Oryctolagus cuniculus: one gene and its partner. The protein of the gene in region 1 interacts with the protein of each later gene in a pairwise test. Links are inferred from orthologs where the notes say so. Each region holds a gene or a part of one and is shown on either strand. Other genes may lie near its edges.

The links.
Region 2: the proteins of BACH2 (region 1) and BATF3 interact in binary tests that used the Homo sapiens proteins (3 or more experiments, as listed by UniProt). The link is inferred for Oryctolagus cuniculus from reciprocal best matches to the Homo sapiens genes BACH2 and BATF3.

What each region holds. Positions count from the first base shown.
Region 1 is NC_091436.1:82,212,628-82,217,154, forward strand, and holds the start of BACH2 (transcription regulator protein BACH2), read left to right. Parts: upstream 1-1,462; 5' UTR 1,463-1,858; intron 1,859-4,527. UniProt on the Homo sapiens protein: Transcriptional regulator that acts as a repressor or activator. Binds to Maf recognition elements (MARE). Plays an important role in coordinating transcription activation and repression by MAFK.
Region 2 is NC_091444.1:27,153,151-27,157,600, forward strand, and holds the start of BATF3 (basic leucine zipper transcriptional factor ATF-like 3), read right to left. Parts: upstream 3,004-4,450; 5' UTR 2,779-3,003; coding exon 2,701-2,778; intron 270-2,700; coding exon 165-269; intron 1-164. UniProt on the Homo sapiens protein: AP-1 family transcription factor that controls the differentiation of CD8(+) thymic conventional dendritic cells in the immune system.

The DNA of each region.
Region 1 (4,527 bases):
CTCTTAACAGGGATAAGGAATGCAGAAGCGGAACCATCCACCAGACTAGGTAGAAATGGCCTGAGTAGGGCAGATCAGGGACCAGGATTCTGTCGTCAGCAGGGGTCTCAGAAACAGGGCAAAGGGGCACTGGGACCTAAAGTCAAGTGATCAAGGGCTACTCTGAGCTCCAAGGGTTTTTCTCATCTAAAACCCAAAAGGGTTAGCAAAGAAAACGTCCCAGGCCGGGCCCAGATCCACATGTCAAGGTCTTCCAGCGCTGTTAGAAAAATCAGCTTAGCGCCTTCAGCTTGCTTTTGGCCGTGGCTTAGCTTTCCACACAGCCGTTCCAAGTGGGGCCTTTAAAAATTCTGCCCTCAAATCGAAGGTGGCTGCAGCCACACTCCGGGTGATATCACGAGACTCCCAGGGCGAGGCTCCCCTGCTTCCTCAGCATATGCCAGTGCCTGTTTTATAGGGGGGATTTACGATCCTTCCCTCAGTAGAGCGAGCCAAAGTTTTATAATATTCATTAAAAATCAGCACCACATGCAATAATACGGAATAGTGCCCTTACCCAAGGGGCCAAGTTATAGGTGTTTAGGGAAACGTGGCAGAGTTTCCTGGCCTCTCCACGGGTAAAGCTGCAGGCAGCAGCACTGCACTCACCCAACCTAATTTTACTGCAAGCCTATCTCTCCAGCCTGGGTCCCTAACGACTCTCTTAAAACTCTAACTACCAAGCTTTCTCCTGACGGGGCAGCCGCGCGATGGCCATAGGGGCAACACCCTGCAGCCTCCAGGGACAGGCTGGCAAGGTGGCTGGAGCTGGGGAGCTGGACTTGGAATTGAGCTTCGCACAGAGCGAGCGCTCTTTCCATAACCTGGCCGGGGGTGCTTAGACGTTCCTGGAATGGGGCAGGCCGAGGCGCTGCTGAAAAAGATCCAAACGTTAGCCTCGGTCGGGTGCTCCTCTCGGTCGGCCTGTCCCTAGGCAGAAGCAGGGGTCCGGTCAGCCCTGGGGGAAGTGGGAGGGAGAGGGGTGCGTGGAGCACCTTTTCGGGCTTGTCCAGGAAAAACGCGCAGACCACAGCCCAGCAGTCTCAGGTCTCGCTCCCGGGCCTGGAGGCAGTGCCCTGGGCTCTGGCCCCTCTCCCGCCCTGGCCTCCCCAAGCCCAAACCCCTAACCCTGCTCTTGCAAGGCCCTGCCAGCCGAGCGGGCAGCCCCGCCGGGAGCAGAGGGCTCTGCGGGCCGCACGGCCGCACAAAGCGGGGAGCTCGGCGCGCCCCCTCCCGCGAGCCGGCGGAGCGCGCGCCCGCCCCCGCCCCCGGAGCGCCATTCGCGGAGCGGCTTACGCTAGTCGCCGGGCGTACGGCGCCCCAGCGGCCGGGGAGGTGCGCTGCCCGGCTCCCGTAAAGTTATTGTGAATGGGGAGCGGGTGACGTCAGCGCCGAATGTCAACAATGTAGCGATTGAGAGTGTGGGCGTTCCAGGGAGAGCGCAAGCCGCGCGGCACGGAGCAAACACCGCCGAGCCGCCGCCGCCGCAGCAGCCGCCGCCGCCGCCGCCGCACAGCACAGCAGCGGCCGTGCACGCCCGGCTGCGGTCGCACCAGCGCTCCCGCTCCCGCCGCCGCGCCCTCGCCGCCCGCTCCCGCCGCCGCCCCGCTCTCGCCCTCTCCCTGGCCGCTTCTCGCCCCTCCCCTCCCCCTTCCCGGCGCACTCGGGGGCTGGGAACGAGCTGCCATGTGATGCGCGTCCCCTCTGCGAGCCTTCGGTGACCCCCCGAACCGCCCACCGCGCCGGCTGCTGGGACGGGGCTCGGGCCGGGCAGACGTGGGGACGAGGAGGCGGAAAGGACGCGAAGTTCTCCGGCGAGGTGAGTCCCCGGCCCCGGCGGGGCGGCGGGCGAGCATGCAGGGGGAACGGGTGCGCGGGGCAGGCGGGGAGGCGTGGGGAAGCGGAGCCGCGGCCGCCCTGCCCAGCGCCCCGCGCGCAGCCGCCCGCCCCGCGCCCTCCCGCTTTTATGGCATTTTCTAGGAACGGGAAGCGGGTGGGCGCCGCGGCGAACGGGCGCTCTGCCGCCTGGCTGTTTACGGCGGGCGAGGCGGCATTGTATTTTGCTCGCGTCGACGGGTGTTTTGGAACAGCAGGGGGAGGAGGAGCAGAGGGTAATAAGTCAGGCGCGGGAGGGCGGGTGGAGCGAAGCGCGCGGCCGCGGGAGCTGCCGCAGCTGTCAGACCCACGGCCCTGCCCCGGCCGGGCCAAGCCTGTGCCGCCCGGCCCCCCGGCCCGCGAGACCCGCGCCCAGCCGGGCTGCCGCCTCCCGGTCCGCGCCGCCGCTCCTTTGCGCTCAGCTGTCAGCCGCTGCCGGTGGCCCAGACCGCAGCCGCTGGCGGGAGATCCAAGCCCAAGTTTAGGCTCCCAGGAAAGGGGCAGGTTGGGGGCTTCGCGGCGCACACCTGAGTGGAATCTCTGCCTCCCGGGTTGTCGGAATGCGTCCCGCGGAGCTTAAACCTGGGGCTCGAGGCTCCTGCAGGGAAGCCTCGCACCTCCCTCTCCCGGGGTACTGCACGAAGCCTACGTGCAACGCACGCACACAGCCCCGGAGCTCCACCTGGGAATGTCGGTCGGGGAGACCCCGGCTCTCCAAATCGAGGCGCGCCGTGGGTCTCGGTTCTAGCTGCCTGTGCGGCCGGGCACTCTGGACAGGGCGGCGGGCGGCGCTCACGGGCTACCCCAGCTGCCCGCGAGCCGGGGACTCCAACTAGCATCTCGACCGCCTCGATCTGGATGGGGATTTGCAAGAACTCGGGCCGGGCCGGGCCGGGCCGGGCGCACGTGTCTGCCTCGGGGCTTGTGGCGCGCGGGTTGTCCCGCACCCTCTCGCTTGCAGGCGAGTTGGACAACTTGGAGGGGGGCGGAGTTCCCCGGGCGGCTAGTGTCCCGGCTGGTTTTGTCTGTGGCCCTCCTGGCCACTGCCGTCGCCGCGACCCGTGGCCGCCGGGGAACGAGGAGTCGAGGGCGCCCCCACCGCGAGACAGAGCCGCAGACGCCCCGCGGGCGCGCGGGTGGGGAGGCGCGGCGTCCCCCGGTGTTCACCTTCGCTGTCTGGTGCTACAGTCTCTCACTCTGTGAAGTTCATCTGTTGAGCGTATTTAACTAAAAAGGGTAATTACTTTAGATAAAAATCCTTTCCTGCCTGGTGGGAACCTTGGCGGAGATGATGCCTAATGAGATATTTTGCTTTTGTCTGTTTAGAGTAAAATTAGAGATGTTAACTCTGATAACGGTTTTCTCAGATCATTAAAATGTAACATGTAGGAAGGGCATGTTGGCTGCGAAGGCTGTGGCTGACGTGCTGAGCGTGGAGGGCTGCCACTCTCGTGGAGGGAAGGGGCGTCTCGCTTCAAATGGGAGCCCGCCCCACCCTCAGTCTCTAGCAGCTCGCAAGGGAAACGGCGTTTTTTTTTTTTTTTTTTTCATTCTTGCAGGTAATAATAAGCGTGAGTCAAAATGACATCTTGTTAGAATTAGTCTTTAGTCTGTAAGAGAGATTGCTAAATTACAGTGTTGCGTTCAGACTGCTCCAGTGAAAGGTCTGTCAGCATTTCCATTATAAATTCAGTTTTTCAGGAGTTTATAATTTCACCACAAAACTTTGAGTGGCTGCAATGTGTTTTTCCCTTCCAGGGTTCTGGTTTAAAAAAAAAAAAACACATGCATTGGCTACCCACCTCTGTCCTATTTGCTGTTGTTGAGACTTGAACATCTTTCAGATGGCACAGGGATTGGGGGGTGGGGAGGGATGGAGAAGAAGTGGGTCCCAGAAGTGGTTAAAAAAAAAAAAGCAACCATGGAATAAAGTAGTTTTGCTAGAATGTAACTTTATGTGTGCAGAGTAGTGTTTCCATTCTGGATTTTGGAAGGCTTCAGATTTGCTGTTTGGTGATCATACGTGTGTTGGGTGAATTCTGTCTATTCTGCAGGTAGACTGACATGCCAGTTGGGATCACAAGGAGAAACACTCTCCTCGTGTGTGTGTGTGTGTGTATGTGTGTGTCTGAACTCAAAATTTTTGAACACTCCTAGCAGTTACTTTTCAGTCCTTTTTACGTTGCATGCCAGGATCTGCCCTAGAGAAGAAGGGGTGAGGCAGAAAGGGAGGAGGTAGTGGAGACCCCCCTGATTCCCCTTCAATATTGCCAGAGCCTGAGAGGAAGCTATGTATTCGCTGGCTGTTGAATTATGCCCTTCGACTGGGTATCGCCCAGCAGTTCCCTTCCAGGTGCTCACCTCTGGCTGCTGGGTGAGGGGCTGAACTATTTGCACACTGCCTTGAAATTCCCTGGATGAAAGGCAGAGAATGAGTGCAAAGTATTGTTCCTCAGATATGGAATTTAATGATCCATTACAGTTCATCAGGAAAATGCACTTTGCAGTGATGGTAGGAAGCATTTCCACCTGATAGAGGGTAATAATAACTGCTTAAAAGTAGCTTCAGATTATAGATGAGACAATTAACTCTAGCCATGTGCTCTTCAATTT
Region 2 (4,450 bases), on another chromosome or scaffold:
ATCAGAAGTCTGGGCTGGGAGGACCCAGCAGAACTAAGCATGCACACTGCCCAGGGGGTGGGGGTGGGGGTGAGGGTGAGGGCAGTGACATCATCACCTGGCTGCAAGGGTGGAGAAGGCTCCTCCCTGTGGCTCCCACGTGGCTTTGCCCCAAGCAGTCTCACCTCGTGGAGTTTGTCAGCCTTCTGGGTCTGCTTCTTCCGACTTCTCTGAGCAGCAACTCGGTTTTTTTCTCTCCTTCGCACCTTCCTGTCATCATCCTCAGGGCTCTGGGGAGTGAGGGGGGTAGGGAGAGACATTCGGTGAGGTTTGAAGTTGAGACCCCTCACTCTGCCCTCTCTTTGCTCAGCGCTGTTCACTGGGCTCCACCACGGTAGGAGTATTTGCAATCAACATCCGTGTTCATTGCTACCCCATTGGGCTCAGGGTTGAGGACCACTCCCTGGGGGCCATGCCACCTACCCTGAAAAATGGGGTGTGACCGCCATCTAAAAAGATGAGGAATAAGAAACCCAGACAGGTTAAGGAACTTGCTGCAGGTACCAGCTAGTGAGTGAGGGAGTAGGAAGTGGAACTCAGGTCTGTTAGTCTCCAAACCACCGTTGGCAAACCTCTACCCCACAGGGCGTGTGCCTGGAAGAGCTGTGGTGTCAGTGCTGCCGGGGCAGACTGGGAAAGCTAGGGGCATAGCTGTGTGGAGCTTGCTGGACGCCAGCCCTCACGCGGCCAGGCCGAGCAGGTCCTCGGGAGAGTGGCTGCAGGCCGCGCTTACACTCGCACCTGACGGCAAACACGTGACGCCACCAACACGCCAAGCGATCTGAAGTGCCCTGGCAACGTGCTCATTTGAACAATGTGTGGCTGACATTGCTTCAGAGGTTACAGTGAATCAGAAAGCAAAGTTATGATGTGTCCTGAAAACTCTTAGCTTCACACGAGATCTGAGCCAAACTTAGTCAACTCCTTCAAGGGGGAATCGTGAAACAGGGAGACCGAAAAACGGAGCTACTGCACAAAAACTCTGCAGCCAGTTACAGAAATCATGGAAAAGAAGAGCAGTATTTGCTTTCCAGAGCCCAGTGAGAAGATATCAAGGGAAACACACACACACACACACACACACACACACAAACCTTCTTTCTAAAGAGTCTAAAAACCAAGAGGTTAGTGGGGTTGCAAACACAGAAAGCTACTCAATTATTCATGGAAAGCAAATAACACAAACTAATGGATATTTTAAGTTATCTTATCTGGCCTTGCATTCCAAATAAGACAGGCACATATCATCTCCCCAACTTCCAGTAGGAAAGAAGTCCCAGCATATGCAAAAATATAAAGATATAAAAGGAGAAGAATAAATAGTTTACATTATAATAGAATAGAGACAGGTGTAACAAGGTAATCTTGTAGAGAGGCCAAGAAGTCTTGCTAAAGACACGCAGACCGTCAAGGATCCTGGCTTTGTCTCTTACTGTCAGATGGCCTGGAGTAAATGACCGAACTTCTCTGAGTTTTCCGTTCCCGACTGTGATTCATTCATTCTTTCGGAGCACCTGCAGGTGTGCTAGGCACTGCCTATGCGGTGGGGACACAATTCCTGAACAGATGTTGGTGCTCCCCGCTGCCTTCGGCCAACAGCCTGGCGCTGGGGGCTGGCACCGGACACAGCGAGATTCTATCCTGAAGCTCCCGTGGGCACGCAGCCTGCTCTCCTGAAGCTACCTGCCCTAACCGAGGCTGCTGTTTTTAATTGAATCTTCACAGTGCTTTTCACTAAATCATGCCTCTGGGAGCTGACACGCTAAACTGGATTTATTACCTATCAGGGATGCGTGTCACACCTGCCCGCCCGGCAGAACTACTTAAGGCAGAAAGAGGGGAGTACAATTTTGAGATGTTCCTATATGATGAAGCACGTCTCACTCAGTTTTCACAAAAAATCCTGGGAGGTCGACGTTATTCTACTCATTTCACAAATGGGGAAACCGAGGCACGGAGAGATTAAGCGAATTGCCGAGGCTGCTCAGCCTGGGTGGCGATGCCGAGGCCCAAAGGCGCCGGACACACACCGGGGAGAGAGCGCGAGAACCAGCCCCAACCGCCGCCAAGCGGAGCTGGGCGCTAAGGCTCCGAGGGGCCGTCCCCGCCGGCAGCCTAGTCCCAGTTTTCTGCGTGCACAGCTCTAAGTGCTGCTGGGGACGGCGCGGAGGACCGACTGGGAGCCGGCAGGGGGGGTAGGGGGACGAGGGGGTTCTACCAGAGCTGGGGGTGGAGTCTCCCCGCCGCGGCCCCCGCCCCACACCCCCAGGCTGACCCGTACCGCGTTCCCCATTCCAGCAGCCGCCAGAGGAGGGTGGGTGTTGGGAGTGGCTGGGGACGAGCCGCCCCTTTGGGTTGAAGGGCCCCTCCGGAAACGCCGGCTGCGGGGTGGTGGCCTTCGGCGGCGCCCGGACCGACGGCCCTGGGGCAGCGTGGACCCCACGTGCCAGGATGCGCGGGCAGTGCCCTGCCACAGTGGACGTCCGCTCCCTGCGGCCTTTCCACTCTCGGAGGACTCGGAGCCCTCCCAGGCGCGGCCGAAGCGCACGCCGGGACCCCCGGGCCATCGCCCCCACGCCCCTAGTCCCACTCGTCTCTGGCGCCGGCAGCGCCCTCCACCCGCGAGCCCCCGCGGCCCTCCCAGAGTCTCTCGCCCACTACCTGCGGCTGCTGCTGATGCCCCGGCGCCGCGACGCTCCTCTGCAGGACGCCGCCAGCGGCCGGGAGCCCCTGCGACATGCCGGGCGCTGGTGCAGCCGGCCCGCCCCGCGCGCAGCCCGGTGGAGGCGCGGCCCGGCCCGCGGCGCCCTGCACGCGGGGCCCGGGCTACGAGCGCCCTCCGACCGCCCGCATCGCCTCGCCCGCACCTGGCCGTCGGCTTGCGCCCCGCCCCCGCGGGCTTCCCGCTCTCCCGGCTCGCCGGCGCCGCGCGTCCGCCCGGGCTCCCCACCCCCGGGTCGCGGCCCGCGGTCCTTCCCGTCCCCAAGTGCGCCCCGCCTCCTTCTCCCACCTCCGCCCCGTTTCCTCCTCTCCCCGCCCTCTGCTGCGCCTCGGGGTCCCCAATCCCACCTCAGGCGCGGCTTTTCGCTGGGGCCCCGAAGTCACGTGGCGGCTCGGAAACCGAGGAGGGAACGCGACGCCCACCCGCGGGAGGCGACGCTGGGGTGGGTGGGGGTCGGGAGGCACAGCCTTGGGGGCACTCGGGGTGAGAAACGCAGCTGGGTGGTCGGGGGTGGTGGTTTTGTCTGCGCATTGCCTACGCCTCCCTGCCGCCCCCCAGCCCCGGCGGGAGTCGGGCTTTGGGGGCTCTCTCCGGGCACTCGGCCTTTGGGTCGCCACCGTCACTCGGTCCTCAGCCCAGGAGGCGCAGGCGCGGGGAGGGGCGGCAGCCTCACGCGTCGCGCCGCGCGCCCAGAGCGCGGGCGTTCCCGGGCCTTTCTGCGGGGAGCACCTGCCCTTTCTGTTCCCGGTCCTGCCGGGCTGCGGGAAGGAGCGAGGCGGGGCGGCCCCGAGCGTGGATTCCGTGAGCCGGAGCGTGGGCAGGGGCCACTGTCCTGGACGGGAACAGTGACGGCCGTCCCAGGGAGCGAATCCCACACGTTGGACAACGTCTCTGGCGACCGGATCAGGACTGTGGCCCCATCATCCTGAAGTCAGATGGACCAGAACCGTTTCCTTGTTCAAGATTGGAGCGGCAGGTGCCCTGCCTGTAGGTTTAAGATGTGTGGTTGCTGCCACACGCCCATGCCGCAGCGGGGACAGGGCAAAGGCAGGGCGTATTGCACCCCCCACCCCCAACCTGTCTGCCACTTAATAAGTGTTGAACGTGGTTCCAGCAAATAAAGAACGAGCGGTTACCGGCTTGAGGTCTGCGAGGAGTCAGCGCTGGGAAGGGAAGCGAGCCGCGACTCCGAGTGGGCGGGTGGGCAGGTCACAAATGCCTTCCCAGTGTAGTCGCTGAGGCCTTCAGGTTTGTGGGCAGCGGGGGGGATGGGGCACGAGAAATTCTGATTCCCAGGCCAGGGCACGTGACTGTCGGCCAGGATTTAAGACTCGTCTTCAAAGCCTTCAGAGCAGCAGGAAAGCCAGTGGGAAGTCCGGGAGAGCAGGGGAGCTGGGCGGTAGGGAAGAGGCGAGAGGGCGCAGGGCAGACGGGGACTGGGGGCGGGGGGGGGAATACTCTTTCAGATCCCTGTGTCGCACCCCGCGCAGGCCAGCACCTCGAACAGGTGCACACGATGTACCCAGCACAGCGCACCACATTATCTCAGGTGCTCGATAAAGCTATTGCGGGAGGTCAGCTGAGATCTCTAATTCTGGAAAAATTACACGGACTCAGAGAAGACAGGGGAACACTGGGTGAAGTGGTTGTAACATTCAGAAGCACTGTTATCTCCGATGCTGTGTGCGC